Schizosaccharomyces pombe: one gene and its partners. The protein of the gene in region 2 binds, or shares a complex with, the protein of the main gene of each other region. Each region holds a gene or a part of one and is shown on either strand. Other genes may lie near its edges. The genes, in order: sws2, mrp21 and bot1.

Region 1 (6,390 bases), on a different chromosome or scaffold from region 2:
CCAGGACCGCCTAAAACAAAAATCACGTTATACATTGTCTACAACACATTAGTAAATTGGGAATGCTGGTTATAAAATAAGGAATGAAATGAGCACACAAGTTCCTTTTTTTTTCTCTTCTCAAATGTTTACGCGTTTGTGTCACAGTCGTAAAAAAAAAAACCTTTTAAAGAATGTAACGATGAAATTACTGTCTCAATAACCAACGCAACCAGAAACACACTAACCCATACCAATAAGGATTTGCAAAATAGGTGAAACACTATTTGAGCGGGTAAAAAAGTGTTGGAGAATTAACTTTTTCATGTTTCTTTCAGCATGAGTCTTCAAAAAGGCATCCGTTTGCACTAAAATGGAAGAGGAAAAAAATTTCGACATTTACGCTACATACCTATTTAATTTATGGTCTGAGTGGAAAAACAGTAAAAAAATAGAAAAGCGCGCTAAAACAAATTAATATACAAGGAGACTTTGTACTGTTGAAGTATATGGAGTCTACTCGTACAATAATACAGTAGTATGTTGTAAGCAACTTTGAACACGAATCTAAACGCAACCAACAACTTAAGATGGAAGAGCCAAAACATATGGATGGGCCGCGGAATAACCGCGGCCCATGCCCTGAGCAGAATAGAAAAAAAAGATTTTTTTTTTCTTTCATAAAATTAAAAAATTCAAGACAATGTATGAATAAGAACCTCTCGATCTAGCATCCAACCTATAAATGAATATCTCTGTTGCATGTTTGCTATATTGAAAATGTCGCTAAGGAGTATCGAGATCCCAGATTAGAGAAGCGTTTACCATGAGTTACAGAATCCTTTTATTACACCAATTCTTAAATCATCTCCAGTCTATAGCCGCAAGTATTGCAAACGTTGGATTTTGCGATCAATGCTTTCCATTTAACGCGCTAAAGCAATTTAACAAATACAATGGTATAGCGCGAAGTCATAATAAAGGAGTAAAATTATATTAAACAGTTTATTAGTATAATGATATGGTTATATGACTTTAGAACGAAAGGAAGCATGTTAACGCCGAAAAGAATTAAAAAAGCTGTAAAGAAGCAGCAGTTTATTCGTTATTTTCACCAATCCTTTTACTAAAACCTTTTCGAAATGTACTCTTATTTTTTGAAGGTATAATGAAAAGGTGGGATTCTCGGAACTAGCACTACTATGGTTTTAGCAAGCCCTGATTCTCATGTTCGAGGGAAAAAAAGCACTAATGGTATCAAACAATTTCCTACTATCATATTACTATCCTTTCCTTGGAAATTAAATGCTAGCAACGGCAATCCTTTGTACTTTCTCCGTGCACAATATCTAGTACACCAAATACTGGCCCACTAGTCGGAGGGGAACGGGTATTTGTTTATTCTCCTCTTTTTTGCGTGCTCCATCTCCTTTGAAGCTCTATTTTAGTTGCTTTGCAGTATCTATATCTGCTACAAGTAGCCAGAGGCGTTCTATGCCTTCAATCTGAAGTTCATTTTTTCATTCTATGGCGGTATGCTATTGGTTGAGTACACACAAAGAACAATGGATAGAGTTTTATTGTTTACATTATCAAAAAACCTTTAACCAATAAAAAAAATAGCCGCTACCAGAAAAAAGTCGCTTAAAATTAATAAGTCTTTTGATTGGTCGCTGTACATAGAAGTTCATTTTGGGTGGACGACAAAAAAATAAGCGAATATCTTCAACCAATCAGGATAAACAGCGATAAAACGAAAACGGGGAAGTCATTAAAAAATGGCGGTTAATGTCAACAATGAACAGTTTGAAAGCATAGAATTCCAGATTTGAATTGAGGGAAACGGAGCACTACAAAGATGTATAAATACAGGCATTCTGTCCCAGAAGAAAACCAGAATTCGTTCAAGTCTTCTATTTTACATATTCACTCTTTCTATTTCTTATTCTTCACTCTACAAGAACTCGCGTTGGGTGTGAATTTACATCCCTCTTGTCAACAAACCTGCTCCGTTAGCTAATTTTCTGTAAATTTGCTTCGATCTTTCTTATTCTAATCTTTTAATCCTTTTTCTTTTGGAATTTTGCCTTTTTAAACTCTCCCTTTTTTTGAATCAGTCAACAAATTATAATTTTCTTCTTTTATTTGCTAGTTCATCGCTTAAACTATCTTTCTTTTTCTAACTTATCAACGAAATTTTATTTTTTTCACATACATTATGAAGATCACCGCTGTCATTGCCCTTTTATTCTCACTTGCTGCTGCCTCACCTATTCCAGTTGCCGATCCTGGTGTGGTTTCAGTTAGCAAGTCATATGCTGATTTCCTTCGTGTTTACCAAAGTTGGAACACTTTTGCTAATCCTGATAGACCCAACTTGAAAAAGCGCGAATTCGAAGCTGCTCCCGCAAAAACTTATGCTGATTTCCTTCGTGCTTATCAAAGTTGGAACACTTTTGTTAATCCTGACAGACCCAATTTGAAAAAGCGTGAGTTTGAAGCTGCCCCAGAGAAGAGTTATGCTGATTTCCTTCGTGCTTACCATAGTTGGAACACTTTTGTTAATCCTGACAGACCCAACTTGAAAAAGCGCGAATTCGAAGCTGCTCCCGCAAAAACTTATGCTGATTTCCTTCGTGCTTACCAAAGTTGGAACACTTTTGTTAATCCTGACAGACCCAACTTGAAAAAGCGCACTGAAGAAGATGAAGAGAATGAGGAAGAGGATGAAGAATACTATCGCTTTCTTCAGTTTTATATCATGACTGTCCCAGAGAATTCCACTATTACAGATGTCAATATTACTGCCAAATTTGAGAGCTAAACTCATTTTATCTTCATATTTTTTTTATTTTCTAGTATGTTAGCCCACACATCTTTACAAAGCCATGTGAAGCAATTTTTTAAATTAATTGCTATTTTCGATCTATTATTTTACCATACGATCTGTATTCCTATTCGCAATAATATTTTTAATTTTCATCTTAGTCTTCATATTGTAAAAAAAAAAAAAAAAAAAAAAAAAAAAAAAGAAAAAACGTATAGTAGTTACAATATTACTGAAATCTACAGTACTATACTTCTTTCAGTTGCTTTGTTTTTTAAAGTTAAATAAAACATCAATTTAAAAACTGACTATTAAACCACATGATTTGCGGATTGCTTAAGTAATAATAAAAATGAACACTACCAATTGTGTTAAGCGATAAAATTAGTCATATCCCATATAAGAAGAAAGCACTGAAGTTTCAATTGAAATGCGGAAAGCTACTGCTCATTTAAAATGCCTAGGACCTGCACAAGCATAGCAATGTAAAGGAGCTGCACTTGAAATATATATGACAGTTGAGATCCGCAAAGCATTGTTAGAATATATAAAATTTTATTCCAAAACTTTTTACTGTACTTCCGCATGTACTGTTGAACATTCAACTTTGTAAGAGACAGTAATGTCGTGAATATATTTTTCAATAATAAATTTTAAACTGAGACCATTGAACGAAGGGATCATTTGAGTTCATAAATTTTAAAATTTGAACAGAAAAGGAAGGCCTTTGACGATATCTCTTCTTTATTTGTTTTTCTTCGTCTTACCTTGCCCTATTTATGGTCTTCTTAAACATCAAATTACACCTTAGATAGTAGCTCTTTAATGATTACTCAAATTGTCTTTTATTACTAGGCCCGGAGTCTGTACAATCTAACTAGTTTTCTAAAAATATGAGAGATCCAACTGTGTATTATATCTAAACACCACCACTCCACTCTTTTACAAGAAAGCCTAATACTTATATTCAGAACGGTTTTAAGCTCTCTGATTACTGATAGAGAACTGAATTACAAAACCAAATTGTCCACTTCATTATTGAGCTGGTTTCTGTCTCATCTGTTGATATCTGAGATTTTGCATCATGGTATACATACTTGGAGTGGCTGTAAACGACGATAAACCTGTGCGGTTTGCTCTACTTTCTTTTTATGGAATTGGACATGCCAAGGCTGAAGAAATATGCGCAAAATTATCATTTCACAATACGTTAAGGGTTCGAGAGCTGACAAATGTTCAATTGACAACGTTGTCGCAACTGCTATCAGGAATGACTATTGAAGGTGACTTACGGCGTCAACGGAATGCTGATATCTCAAGATTGGTGAATATCCGATGCTATCGGGGAATGAGACATGTAAACGGGTATGAAAAGATCATTTGTGAACGTAGCTGTCTTCGACAACTTTTTCAACTTAACTAATGAATATTTCAGGTTACCCGTTAATGGACAGAACACTCGGACGAATGCAAAGACTGCTAAGAAGCTAAACAAAGTCCCACGACGAGGTTATATGACACTGTCGCCCGCTTCTACAAGGCCCATCACATGGAGTTTTTGTCTACCGAGAATGGTGTCTGTCTTTCAAAAATTAAAACATATTCATTAGCTAAAATAACGTTTATGAAATCAAACTTCACTTATCATGTACACTTCGTATTACCTCGATTTGCTTGATTCTGTTAAAAAACCAACAACCGGGATACGAAAATGAAAACGTATTCTATTTTTATTGTGTGAGAGAAAAAGCTCTCGCCTCGTAATTTCCTTCTAATATACAACAGCACTCAAAAAAAATACAATAAATCGAAAAATTGCATTGAGGCGATACTTACTGTGTCCTTTCAGTAGTAGGTACAGTTTGCTTCCTTTGCTGCAACTGATGAATTTGTTCAGGTGTTAGTTTTAAAGAACTGGAAACAGCGTATGGCTGAAGCCTGGGGACCATTCTACCAGCTATAGGCGAGACACCCGCTGATGAATTGTTACTACTATTTTGTGAAGCAGCTACAGCTTGAAAGGCTGCTAGTTGCTGGTTGTGTTGTTGTGCACCAGCAGCAACAGCGGCGTTTTGCGGCCGTAGAGCCCTGTTTTGTGATTGCAATTGTGCAAAGTTTCTCTGAGCCTGTATTTGCTGTATTTGTGCCTCACGCTCAGATTTCAAACGAGAAAGTTCGAGAGGGGAAGGAACCGGCGGCAATTTTTCAGTTGAAGCTGCAGATGGTGCAATCGCTCTCTTGGTCATAGTGGGTTTTTTAGCAAACTCTCTCTTTTTAAGGATCTTTCGTATAGCTTCAAATATAGTAATGGGTCGGTAATGTCTTGATACAGTTGGCAATAAGAAGTAAGAATTATGTTTAATCAAATGGTTAGGTGTTCCTTCATCCCGTAAGGATAGATGTTGGCTAACTTTATCCGAATGTCTTAAGGATTCATCTAATTTCTGCTGAGCGAGTCTTGCATGGGAGCCAGTCAATTGGACATTGGCGGCTCTGGGATCCACTTGAATCCATCTTTCAAAACAATCCCACGCAGTCCGCTTCTCGGCAAGCGGTATGTACAAACCTGGTGGTGTTAACCTACTGGCAACAAATTCCCAATTAAAGGAATATCGTCGCAAGAGTAATAAAAGGAGTTCATCTTCTTCGGGCAACCAAGGGGCTTCTGGACGAATATCTTTACTAGAAGGCGGATACGGAGGCCGCACACTAAAGGTTCCTACTGAGGATAGCTTCTGATTATCATCCTTAATTTTATTTCCATCTAGCTGGTTCTCATCGCTTCTCGCCTTCTTTTCCATAAACGACTCAGGTGGTGATAATTCCAATTGGTTGAACAAACGTTTCCTAGAAGCCTTTGCACAGGTGGATTTAAGCTTTGTTTTGGCATATGCAAAACGTGACACAGGAGTGATCGGGTACTTTTCAGATATTTCTTCACAATATTCATTGTTTTCAGTAGGAGGACCGTACATAGGAACGTTTAAAACGCAGTTCTGAATTTGTTCGGAGTTTGTTGTCACAAATATATCATCCGAAAAAACAGCATTATAAAACTGTAAAGAATCCCTGGGAATAGAGAGCACTTTGTTGTTATTATTATCATTTAGATTAAAATGGCTCACTATTTGTTCATTAAACGTTTCCTCGTGAGAGTCTTTCTGATGTTCATTCTCTTGCATGTACGGCTTCTTATTCTTTGACAACGAAGCCGGAGTACAAACAGTACATTTATCACTAGCTTGATGGTAATCCATTACCCAATTCGCCATTCTATGAGCCAATATAATTTTCCATTTACGCTCTTGAGAAAAATCAATTGACATCCATTGCATCTCATCCAAAACATAATCCCGATGAGTTTTCAATCGTGGCATCTCGTTTTGTCTTTTGGGCTGTCTAAAGGACCAAATACCTTTTTCTTTTGCAACCGTTAAATGATGTAGTGATTGTCGTACAATTTCCTCGCGATACGCATGAGACCAGTTATCTGATAGAACATATTTATGTGCATTTTTCAACCTTAAATGTAAAGGCGACATTTCTGTTCGAAGCAGCCATGCTTCTGAGGAAAGCTCTGGTTT
Region 2 (6,123 bases):
CCATGGCAAAGAATACTCGTCATGCCCATAATTCTTCTCATGAGTAGGACTTTGAATACCAGCACCCCAGGCAATGATGGGAGTACGTGTATTATCAAGGTTGCCATCACCATGACTTCCAAAGTCACTCATACCATGGTCTGCTGTAAAAACCCAGCTAGAGGCTCCGTCGTTATTGTAGTAGTTGTTCATCTTATCAACGAGTTCTTGAATTTTTCCATCTATATACTGTATGTTTTCGACATATTCAACTGAGTCAGGGTGTTTATTATGGCCAATTGTGTCAATGCCCAGTAAATGAAGGAAGAATACTATTTTATCCCGATGCAACATATCCCAAAGTTCCTTATCCTCTAAAGACTGAGCGAGAAGTTCATCTAGCCTATCAAAAACCCATTCGTCAAGAACAATTCCGTTGCTAGAGAAATCCTCCAATTCAGAAGAATACATGAATGTATCAACTCGAGATGGATCAGATGCACCTTCACTAAACATAGGCAAAATATCTTCGGATCCAAACGAATAAGTATGCCGACTCTGATTAAACACAGAATCGAAATTTACTGGATTTTTTTTCCAGCCTTTTGTGACGGCTGAAACATCTTCGTAAAAACCAGCTATTAGAGCAACATGTCCGGGGCGTGACTCGGTGGGAACACGAGTATGAGAAACACCGAAAGTACCGTTATTCTGAATAATTGATCTTAAAAATGGAGCGGCATATGTCTGCTCTTCTCCAATGACCTTTTCGGAATGTGGTTGTAATAGTTTATCAGGACGTAGTCCATCGCCTATAAGCATATTGGTTAGTAAAATAAGAAAAAGAAGGACAAGAAAAAAGTTGTACTATTTCTTGTTTTTTTTTCTAAATCCAAAACGAAAATATGACATTTTTTTCATTAAGCTCTATACACTAATTTCACTATTACAAATGTTTACTTACCAACAATTAGAAATAGGCGTTTAGCAGGAGCTTCGCCTGCAGAATACTGCTTCATGCCATGTATTAGAGGAGTTACGAAATAGATATCAAAAATGGATTTGAGAAAGACGACATGGAATAAAATCCCTAACAGCAAGAGGCGACCAAACATTGCGAAAATTTAAGCGTGAAACCACTACCACAATTGACTGGGAATACTAGGGGTTTTTGGCAAAAATTGGATAGATGCCAGGACGCTTCTTGGAAAAGAAGGATGCCCTAAACAAGGCAAGAAGTGTTTTGTTCTGGTGAAGTGCGTTTGAGTGTTGAGTCGTTACAAACATCAACAGAAGTCCCCTTTAATCTACCATTGGTTAAAATTCAGATGATCTACGCTCGATCTAATGAATAAGCGAACGCTAATGAATGTATACTGAGTTTTGTAATTAAGGATGCCGTGTTTGAATGCACTAATGAATAGTGGTAGCGCTCCATCGTATATTGTGAGCTATGGCCAATATGCGTAATTAGTTCTAGCTGGATGAAAGAGTAAATAATCAGAAATCTATTAAGGAAGTGATAAATTACTTTATGGTATGCAGTGCACAATAATGGGACTTATAGTCATCTGGTAATTAAGCAAAAAATGATTCTGTAAATGGATATTTTCGGTATTATTTTAATTTCCGTTGACAGAAATGTAAAATGGATGGTTATCATTTCATTGCTCAAATCCAAGATTAATGAAAATTCAGCGGTAAGCATATTTGGTTGTTACACGTTGAGAGTCGGTTTACTCATGACGATTATAATAAGATAAAGGGATACAACCATCAAATTGCTGCTACATGGCCAATAATAAAAAAATCATTTGCAATACGAAAGGAAACGAATTCATTTATTATAACATGCAGAAGTAATAACTTCCTGCGACCAGCATTAGTTTGAATAAATAGAGTAACAAACTCATCGATTTAACTAAGAAAATTGTTATAGGCTAGCAAAACAGAATAGTAATATTAGAGGGTAATGCAAACATTAAGCTCAATCTCGCAGTATTGTCAAACTGAAAAGATAAAAGAAGGTAGAGACAGTTATTAGACAATAAATCCTGTTAAGTAGAAAATCATAAGATAGGGGAGGGGTTAAGCAAAGATACCAGGAAAAATTTAGAAATGACAAAACAAAAAACGAATATTTCCCAAAAATGTCTAGCTCTTAAATCCGCGGAGAAGTAAAAAGCAATATATTATTTTACTTCAAAAGGGGGTTTTCGAGCATTCTCGTCTTAAATGAAAAGCTATGAGAACAACGATCTCCAAATACATTAATTTAATATGGATTTTCGTAACCAAGAAATAGAATGAAATGTTCGAAGAATCACTCAATAACCCCAACGACGCATGTTCTTTGCTAAGTTTACAAGTCGAACAATTCCAGCGCGGAACCTTGCCCTGTGTCTTTCTGAACGAACGCGGGATCGCTTTTCGGATGGTTTTTCATAAAATCTCTGTGAACGGAATAGCCTTGGCACATTATTCCTTTGACATATTCTATCAACTTGTCGAAATGCTCTTGTTAGACTATTTCCAACTGTCACACTTGCACCTAAATCTTTTGTTTCTGCTGCGGGTATCATAAAATGAAGCGAATCTTGGAACGCACCATGCTCCTCTAAATATCAATAAAGTATTAGCAGACAATAATCCAACAATCGAAAATCATATTCTTGAAAGACAATAGCAACTTCAATGGATTTTCTTCGTACCTTTTCTCTTTTGCAATTTCCTATTTGTATGTACCCATCTGACCCCTAGAACACCTGGGAAATAAGAACTGTTCATTTTAAATAGTTATTTTGCGTTTTCTTGGCAATTTGAGAAGCCTGAATCTCACCGCAGTACAACTGCATAAAGAATTCGTTAAATTGCCTTGAACATCGATTTTTTGCATTAGCGTAAAAGACATAAAATTCATAAACTAAAAATAGGATAATCACATTTACACTTCACTATATACCTTTACATGATACACATGAATCTGTTTTCCTCCAACAACTATGCAGCGGCAGAATACGCGTAAGTAATTTCAATTTCATTGCTAAAGAATTTATCTAATTTTATTTAGAGGCTGCCGGTATGCCAATGATGCCACAGGTTCCTATGGTTGGCAACGGCGTTCCATATGTCGTCCCAATCCAACCTGTATTCGCCCCTTTACCTCCTGATTACAGGAGCTTATACAAAAAATTGTATGGCCAAGGCGCTTTTTTGGTAGATAATCCTGTTGAGGCAAGTAGTCCCTATGATTTTTCGCAGCCAATTCTGAAGTTTGGTAAACTTCCCATAAAACAAGTTTTAAGAGATAATGAATCGCAACAAAAAGATAGAAAAAACTTACCCCGAAATCAAAAAAGTAATGAGATTCAGGAGAAACAGACGTTTCAAACACCTTCTTCAGAGAAGTCTACAACAGAAAGGGAATCGCGGCCGTTTGTCCCTCCAAATAGTCAACAAATGCGGCGGATGCTCTTTATTGGTAATATACCGAAAGAATTGGATGATTTTTGGATGGATAAAATTCTTCGATTGTCCGGGAAGCTGGCTTCTTGGCGAAGGGTTGCTGATGCAGATAACTCGATGACTTCGTTTGGATTTGCAGAGTTTGAATCAAATGAACAATTCAGTAGAGCATTAGAAGCATTAAATGATTTTGTTGTTCCACCTTTGTACGAAGGTGGTCCTTCAACTCGCTTGTCATTGATTACAGATGTTGAGAATGAGGGATTGTATCGTGAATGGCAAACGAGTCGTTATGCAAGAAATAAGCAGAAAGAGATAAACATTTTACAGCAAATTCGCTTTAACCTCGAAAGAATTTGTCAAGATATAGGCAATTTTGATGTCCGTTCTCGCATTGAAAGGGCAGCTCGACAGGCCCGAGAGAAAAACGAAAAATTACTACAAAATGTCAAAACTTCGGAAATTCCCATTAATGCTGCTGATTTAGAAGGAATTAATCCTGAATTATTACCGGTTATTGAAGAAGAAATACGATCCTTTCGCGATCAATCTGCTATGAAAAAACGAGAAAAACAAAGGTCTAAGGACGAGTATGCCAGTTTATATAAAGAGTATACACGAAAAGAACAAGAAAAGCTTCGAAAGCAAAATGATGATTTACAAAACCTTTTGTCAAAACATCGTATTTCACGTATCCCTATGTCTACAGTCAATGCCTTTTTAAGAGCAGAAGATAGCATTCCCGAGTCGTTCTCCGATGAACAAGCTTATTATGAAGAGAAGAGAAGGAAGGATCAATTGGAGGCTGAAGAGTATTACGCAAGGGAACGGCGCTGGATGAATCGTGAAAAGGCCCGAACTGCAGCTTTAGAACGAGAAGCTGCTCGTGAAGAAGAAGAACGTGTTAATAACACTTCCTTTGGTACTTATCTTTCGGAAAAATTAGCTTCTTTTGATGACGATGAGGAAGCTCGCGTATCTCGAGACGAATATTTTGTCGATCGTGCTGCTTGGATTAGACATCGTGCAGTTGCTCGTGCTCGAGAAGAAGACGCAGATGCTCTTGACAGAAAGGAGGAAGAAAGAGAACTACGTACCCGTGGAGAAGGTGCAACCGTTGAGACAGAGAATTATGTCGAAAATGGTAAGCTGGTGACTAGTGAAATGCCTCAACATGAAAATGGTCCCTTCAAAATCAAAATACAAACCAAGAAACCAGCTGTTCCTTCTGAAAGACGAGAATTTGGACTTCCGGAGAGACTGCTTTTGGAAGAAGAAGACGAAGAACCGCAAGGCTATTCTCCCAACCCTCAAAAACCAAAGCCTGCTATGGAAGAAAATGATGCCGAGAAGACGAAAAGACTTCGTTCACTTATTGAAAAGATACCTGTTGAAGCAGAAAGTCTGTGGGCACTACCAATTGACTGGAGCAAGGTTACTGAGGTTTGTGATTTTTTCAACTTTTATATGTATCTAAACTAACACATTATAGGATCTTCTAAAAGAAGAAATGCAAGCTTTTGTTACCAAGAAAATTATCGAGTATATCGGTATTCAAGAGGATTCACTTATCACATTTACCATTGATCATATCAGGCAACATAAAGGTGCGGAACAGTTAGTGTCTGAATTGGACCTTGCTCTCGCTGAAGATGCTCCAGAGTTTGTTAGCAAAGTATACCGATACTTGCATGTACTACTGATTTTACGTTCTGAAGCATAACGTACATATTTGGGTAAAGTTTTTATTTAATGGTGACGATTAAAAGTTTGTAATATGTATTTATAAGAAATTTTTTTAAAAAAATAAAGGCAAACCTATGATGCCTTTTTTTTCGCAGTAGAATTGTTGTTTAGTATTTTGAGGCCGGCTTCTAGGGAGATTCCCAAAAAGACCAATAAAATACCAAGCCACTGAATCGAAGATACAGTGTGATGAAAATGAAAAACACTAAGAAGCATGGTGAAAATTTTTCTTGTAAGTGTAATGGTAACGAGCGTTATGCTTCCAAATTTTTCAAGGGTGAAGAAAATGAATAATTGACCGACAGAACCTGTGCAAGCAAACAACAACATGTCTTTAAGGATGCTTGGATGTCTGTTTATAAAAGACAAAGGCTGCTGGTTGCAAAAAGGAGAGATTAAATACAGGCCATTTAAACATGCGATACCCAAGTTGACCGCAATCATCATGGTAACGCTTGATAATTTGTATTTACCAAAAACCTTGTCTTGAGTAGTATTAGTAATTCCGTCCATGAGCAAATTAAAAAATAAAAGCAGTAAGCCAATAGGACTATCATGCTCAGCATGTTTACCTTTGGAAGAAGTGTTTTGAAAATAACTAAAGATACTTACACCTGCTGTAATCATTGTAACAATCAGGTATTTGTGAGGAGGAAACTTTCGTTTGTAAACGAACACATGTAAAGCAATAACTGGAAGTAACTTGCATGATTTTCCCAGAATAACAGTAGGATAAGACAAATGAAACATGCTTGCATATCCAAAGTAAGAACTTAAGCTAGCCGATATGGCAATACTAGAAAAGTATCCTAAAAACTTAGGCTCTAGCAAGCCTCTAGCAGAAACACCATGAAACCAGTTCCAAAGCAACCCACAAAGGACTGTCATGAAGGACTGTGCTAAGCTAAGTAATGCAGGAGAAGAAAACCTTTC
Region 3 (6,390 bases), 1.6 Mb from region 2:
TGCACTTCATGGGTATGATCTGGAAGAACACTTTGTTCGTACAACTGATGGCTACTTGCTTGGCTTGCATCGGGTGTATAAAAAGAAAAAAGGAAAAATTGAAGAGTTAAATTATCTCCCACCTGTATTATTTATTCATGGGCTAATGATGAACTCTGAAAGTTGGGTCTGCAACTTGAAAAAGGAAGATGCCATTCCATTTGCTCTTGTGGAACAAGGATACGATGTTTGGCTTGGAAACTTACGAGGAAACAAATATAGTATAAAGAATATCAAATTCAGCTCTCAAAATCCAAAGTTTTGGGATTTCAGTCTTGATAGTATCGCTATTTTTGACATACCTTCCATTGTTAAATATATACTGTCCGTTAACAGTTTTGATTCTATAAGCCTTGTTGGATTTTCTCAGGGCGCTATATTAGCATTTGCAGCGCTGTCTATTGATACTGAACTTCGCAATTCCGTACGAGCATTTATTGCTCTAGCTCCTGCAATTGCTCCTAAAAAGTATAGTGGTAGAACCGTTAAATCTATTATTCACGCTAATAGCCAACTTCTTTACCTAATGTTCGGTCGAAATTCCATGCTTGGTTCTGCTGTGTTTTGGCAAGCAGTTTTATATCCGCCAGTTTTTGCAAAAATTGTTGATCTGTTTCTTCGCTTTTTTCTGAGCTGGACCGGAAAAAATATTTCCGAAACTCAGAAAATCGTTGCATACTCCCATCTATATTCCTTTACTTCTGTCAAATGCTTTGTACATTGGGCTCAAATTACGCGTCGCAAAGTATTACAAATGTACGATGACAGTCCAGGATTTAAGCCAAGTTACTATACAAATCTTAACCGAATTGCTCGCTATCCGATTGAAAATATACGTCTACCTATTACTTTAGTTTATGGCAGTAACGATAACATGGTGGACATTGAAACACTCAAGACCCAACTTCCACCATTATCTCAATGCATTCAGGTATGTTCTGAAACAGTTGTAGCTTCATTTACTTAAGTGGAAACTAACAAGTTAAAATTAAAGATTCCTAACTATGAGCATCTCGACATCATCATGGGAGATACGAAAAAGGACATAGTAATTCAGCAAGTCGTAGAACAACTAAATCATGTCATTGCTGGAGATTACTTTGAAAGCATAAAAGAAGAATTTGGACTTGACACAGAATTGGTTGACGGCGTTATGAACCATACAATATAGTGTTCATCGCTTCTGAAACTGGCACAATGTATATTTAATATGTTAGATAAGTTTCTGTTCTAAATCAAACTGAAGCACAGTGTTGTATAGACTGTTTCATCGTATGTGCAACCCTTCTTATCAGTATTTGTATTAAACGGCTAAAAAAAGTTTCTTTGTTTAATTTGAAAAAGTCAATATGGCAACGAAAGCAAAAAAAACTATGCAATTTTTATATGTACAAATAACTTTTAGATAATGCAACAACTAGAAGAATTTGCTGAGTGAATTTGTAACAATTCAAGATTTTATTTCGCAAAAGTTTGAAATGGATTGTACTGCCGCTAATGCATGCTAAGGGGGTAAATTTTCTTTCAAAAACGGGAAATAAATGCTTGATTTTCAGGTAGTAGATTTTTTTCTCTTAACATAAATATCCCCGCCGGTATCCCTTCTATACACATTACCAGTAGAAAGATCAATGAGCCTAAAAACACGCTTCCCAACTTCGCTGGGGCTTGAAGAAATTAGCTCTTCATCTTCATTCAAATCTTTGTGCTCATCAGATGTTTTGTGGAAGTGAGTAGCGTTTTGTCTCATGTTTAATTCCTCAATCGAAGGCCACTTCAGGATTTTAGCAGCCTCTTGAGGTGTAAACGTTTCTCCCTCAGGCAAACTCTTCCAAAGGGATACTGGATTGGAACGCAAAGGAATATCGTTTCCGTCATTAAACTGCATCATCTCAGGTTTAGTACATGCGTTCAGCATTTTCTCCATAACTTCATTATAACTATGAAGAATCGGCTTCTTTTTTTCTTCGAATTCATCATTTATTCTTCTCAACTTTATAAGAGCTTCAATCCTTTGTGGAGATGTGTTGAATTTTCGAGCAAGCACTTCTATACTTGCACCCTGCAAGTATTCATCGGTAATTTTCATACGCAAAGAATGAGATATAGGCCTAGGAGGCTTAAAAAAAGGGTTTAAAGGGAAGGGCTGATTTGTATTAGGTCCCAAGCCTACATTACCAGATGATGAGGACTTTGCTTTCTGTACTTCGGGAGACATTAACCATTGAGCCATCATTAAACGTTGTTTATGACGAAGTGTATTCTTAGAAACTGAAGAAGCAACATCATTTGGGGGTGTTACAGATCTTGAGTTGCAAGCAACGTACTTTGAATCAATGTTCTTTTGAGTGTGTTTATTTAAATCAATATTTCCCCCATTGCTTAAAAATGCTCCAGTACTAAAGAATTGTTTCTTGACTGCTGAGGTATAAGTTTTATTTTGAGATAAATTAAAAGCCGTTTTAAGCCCTAACTGTGAGAATTCCACTGAATTCCTCATTTAGGTGCGTTGGAAAGGTTTCTTGTGTCACTCCCCAAAAGTTAGTAACACGCCCTAATTCTATTCATCAAGATAGATATAGAAAATAAACTTCAAAAAACCAATAATTAATGAGACGATTTAGGAAAACTCAAATTTAACCTCCGGCGGTCAAGCAATCTAGCTCCATTATAAGATCCGATTAACATACAGACGCTTGATTTATTTATGAGACAATAACTCTCAGTATGCAATAAAGTAAGATTTTGTTTATTCTATAGAATGTTTGAGAGTCAGTTCCAATATTAGGATACGAACAGTTATACACATCAATACTTAAAAAATAAATACACAATTTAAGTCATAATTTCTACAGAATCAAACGAAAAAAATTCATTAAATACGGTCATTGCTTCTTTAGACAAGAGTTTCGCATGTCCTTGATATTTTTGTTTGGCAATTGACACATCAACAAATAATAAAGCGGATGGATGGCATTAAATTGATTAGGAAATTCCAAATTGAAAATTAAAGTAGAGGAAAGTTTTAGAATACATGTTATACAAACAAAACGATTTGTGTATCATATTTGTCAGAAAGTTCATAACCAACAATCTCAGCTTAATACCTAAGTTTATTATATTCGGCAAAAAAGGGGAAATAGGTTTAAGGAAACATTTATAAACTTACCTCAAATTATTTAGAGAGTAACCAAAAACCCAAAAAGCAATCAACTAATGAAGAGTGCATGGGCTTAACAATTATTCTAAAAACTTTAACTGAGATGTTTATTTCAAATGTTGAAAGGGAGACAATTCAAAAAGATTTTTAAAGTTAAACGACAATAGGCATATAATTGACCCTACTAAGGCAAAATCCAAAGTGCCTTTCAAAGACCATTTTGTATTTGACCGACTAAATCGTAACCCACTTCCTTTCAGTCTATTATCATAATGTACATTATTGCGAATATGTGTTTTAGAGAAAGCATTTTATGAAGTCATTATTTGGTATCCGAGGAACACTTCAGTAGTAGTTCCTTGCCATCCTCGATTTCCACTAGCTGAAAACATGAATTGACAAGAAGTGTCTACATAAAGCGAACTGACAAGACCTCCATGATGACCTGGAATAATTAAGAACCCTATGCCGGCCTTGCTTTGAAGATCATAAAGGCGGATATTATCAAAGGAGGAAATTACAAGGTGACGGCCATTCGGCATCGAATAGACATTTGAAACAGGACCCGAATCGAGAGGCATTTTTAAAGAGCGAACAGGCTCCTTGCCAGAGTGAATGTTATATTCTTCGACGATTCCATTTCGGCGGCCAATATATATATTATTTCCATCCGGACTCCAACATGCAGACATAGCCCATGGTGGTACACCCTTGGGGACGGGGTATTTGAGAACAGAATCGACCATGCGATGGTCCCATACATTCATAACTCCATCTATAGACGTCGTTAAGAAAATATTGGACTCTTCGGATGAAGATTCGGAAGGAGCTTTTATGTTGTCATTGTTAGTAGTAGATTCGGTTTGAGAGGGTTTTTCTGTCTCGTTCTCCTCATTTGCTTGAACAGATTTAGTTTCTTCTTCAATGGCTTTTTCCACCTCTTCATCAAACAGTGCATCGTAAGAAGAGGAAGACGCAGGTGTACCGAACAAACTACGCATGTCGTCCGATTCAGAACCCCAAGGATTTACAGCGCCTGATGGACGATAAACTATATTCGAAATTTGACCACTCTCACAATTGTATGTAGATATTGCATCACCAGTGTTAAGGTCCCAGTAATAAACCATTTTGTCCCAGCTTCCACTCAATACTTTTTTCTCGGAACCATGTAATGCTAAACACGAAACAGGAGCCGTATGCTTTTTTAAAGAAGTAACGGGATAACCCTCTTGATGTCTTGTAGAGTACAGTATAATATCTCCATTATTGACGCCCGAAAGAACCCAAAGACCTCTGGAATGAGCTGCAAGGCTATATACCGAAGATGGTTTATTTCCATCGTAAGCATTCTCCCAGTAGTTGAGTAATATTCCAGCCTTCGTTACTGTATCCACAAAGGGATGTCTCTGTGCAACAGTCAGGGAGAGATCACCATTAATGCTAGGAAAAAAATCATACTTCCTTATATATCCGTCTTCCCCACCAGTGAAAAGCCATTTTAAATCCGATGTGAAAGCAAATGCGTTTATGCTGGTAGCCATAGGGATTGCCAGGGTAGGCACCACATCATAAAAGCTGGCCGTTGAAGCCTTTTGTTTTAATTTCTCAAGTGGATTTTCCTTTGGTGTTTCTTCAGTTTCCTTCTTTTCAGAGGTTTGCTCAGTATCTTCATCGTTTTCGTTTTCATCTTCCATTGTATCCATCTCCACGTCTTCTTCACCGGACTTCTCATCAACCGCGTCTACATCCTCATCTTCTTTTTCGTTCATTACATTTTCTTCAGGATTTTTATCCTGATCCATATCCGCATCATCATCGTCTTCTGGATAAAGTCCTAGATTTGAAGTCAGTAAGAAGTGATATCTCGTTTATAAAACGAACCGTCAGAAGGTAGCAACATTGGATATGAAAAGGACTCACTCTCTTCTGCTTCCATCTTTAAAATATACACAAAAAGAGTTGTAACCTTAAAATGCTGCAATGCAGCAACAATATGTTTTGTTTACGTTCCCTCTGAGATATTAAAAGGAATTATAAGTTTAAGACCGTTGAATATATTTAGCGTAGACGCTATACCTCAATAAAAAGCTTTAATAAAGTCTTAAGTTTCACTGAATGTTACCATTAGAGTACAACTAAACGATCCTTATTTCGTTTAAGATAAATAAGTAGCGAGAGAAAACACTATTCCGCAATGAACATTAGGTAAATGAATGGGGAAGTTTGACAAGGTAAACTTTGTTTTTTATAATCAATCTACTTTCATAGAAAAAATAGGAAGCACTTTCTCTTTGGAAACATATTTCTGTTATTCGCCGTAGCACCCAGTATACTACTTTTATGGTTTCACGTCGCCCGTACTAAGAAACAACAAAAAGATTGATACTTATGGCAGGTATGTTGAAAAATCAAGTATTAGAATATGTGTTTTAACAAACTTGTAAGTGATCTATTAAACTTATAACCTCTGGGGCTTGCAAGCAGTCAAAAATTTAGTAACTTTTAACTAAAGAAATATTGAAATTGACCGTAAAATATAATTAAAATTAAAAGGCTTTAAGTTTATATAAAAGTTTACGGCGAAAGAATTCAGGACAAAAAGATAAACCGAGAATTTCGCGCACATAGTTCTACAATTAAGAAGAAGATATAAACAAGTTTCACAAATTATTATATTAGATCGAGTAAATTTCCAGTAACAAATACTTTGGTTAAAACTAAAGAAACAAACACCACATATTCTATACCCTTCTAGCATTGCTCCAATAAAGCCTTCAACTTAGGTTGCTTTTGAGCGAAGAGATCCGACTTTTTTAAAGATAGTTGATAGAGCTGTCGTACAGATTCAGTGTCAGGGAATGTATCGGAAATTTTTTCATTTACTTTGCTTAATAATCTTTTCAGTTCCGTTCTTGATAACTCTAGTAATTGTTGGCAACACTATTAAATTGTTAATCATTAAATTCCTGTTATATTCAAAGAAATAATAAATAAAGTTAAAAGCAGGGATAAATTACCTTTGAGATTCCGAACCAACCATGGAAATACTCTTCGCAAATTTCAACCGAGCGACAATAATGCTTCAACGAAAACCAATAGTTAGTTGCATTACTTTGAGCCAAAACAAAATATAAATCTCCCAATCGAGCAAAAAGTCGAGGCTCGAAAGGCTGAAGCAACACCATTTC

Evidence for each region.
Region 1: mrp21 (region 2) and sws2 share a complex: the UniProt entries of both Schizosaccharomyces pombe proteins name them as parts of the mitochondrial small ribosomal subunit.
Region 3: mrp21 (region 2) and bot1 share a complex: the UniProt entries of both Schizosaccharomyces pombe proteins name them as parts of the mitochondrial small ribosomal subunit.

Annotation. Positions count from the first base shown.
Region 1 is NC_003421.2:982,492-988,881, reverse strand, and holds the start of sws2 (mitochondrial 37S ribosomal protein uS13m), read left to right. Parts: upstream 1-3,727; 5' UTR 3,728-3,890; coding exon 3,891-4,171; exon of another isoform or gene 4,172-4,241; coding exon 4,242-4,416; 3' UTR 4,417-4,638; coding exon of another isoform or gene 4,639-6,390. Other genes in the region: ura6 (uridylate kinase), read right to left, coding at 1-35; P-factor pheromone Map2, read left to right, coding at 2,198-2,803; vid21 (NuA4 histone acetyltransferase complex scaffold subunit Vid21/Eaf1), read right to left, coding at 4,639-6,390. UniProt on the Schizosaccharomyces pombe protein: Component of the mitochondrial ribosome (mitoribosome), a dedicated translation machinery responsible for the synthesis of mitochondrial genome-encoded proteins, including at least some of the essential transmembrane subunits of the mitochondrial respiratory chain.
Region 2 is NC_003423.3:615,373-621,495, forward strand, and holds mrp21 (mitochondrial 37S ribosomal protein bS21m), read right to left. Parts: upstream 2,802-6,123; 5' UTR 2,767-2,801; coding exon 2,691-2,766; intron 2,597-2,690; coding exon 2,307-2,596; 3' UTR 1,819-2,306; downstream 1-1,818. Other genes in the region: its8 (pig-N family GPI synthesis protein), read right to left, coding at 1-791, 944-1,094; U1 snRNP-associated protein Usp107, read left to right, coding at 2,982-3,000, 3,050-4,887, 4,937-5,167; ER uridine diphosphate-glucose transmembrane transporter Hut1, read right to left, coding at 5,263-6,123. UniProt on the Schizosaccharomyces pombe protein: Component of the mitochondrial ribosome (mitoribosome), a dedicated translation machinery responsible for the synthesis of mitochondrial genome-encoded proteins, including at least some of the essential transmembrane subunits of the mitochondrial respiratory chain.
Region 3 is NC_003423.3:2,230,573-2,236,962, forward strand, and holds bot1 (mitochondrial ribosomal protein subunit S45), read right to left. Parts: upstream 2,551-6,390; 5' UTR 2,540-2,550; coding exon 1,592-2,539; 3' UTR 1,211-1,591; coding exon of another isoform or gene 1,034-1,210; 3' UTR 971-1,033; downstream 1-970. Other genes in the region: SPOM_SPBC14C8.15 (triglyceride lipase-cholesterol esterase), read left to right, coding at 1-970, 1,034-1,210; SAGA complex subunit Spt8, read right to left, coding at 3,511-5,036, 5,084-5,138; TPR repeat-containing protein Oca3, read right to left, coding at 5,954-6,142, 6,220-6,390. UniProt on the Schizosaccharomyces pombe protein: Component of the mitochondrial ribosome (mitoribosome), a dedicated translation machinery responsible for the synthesis of mitochondrial genome-encoded proteins, including at least some of the essential transmembrane subunits of the mitochondrial respiratory chain.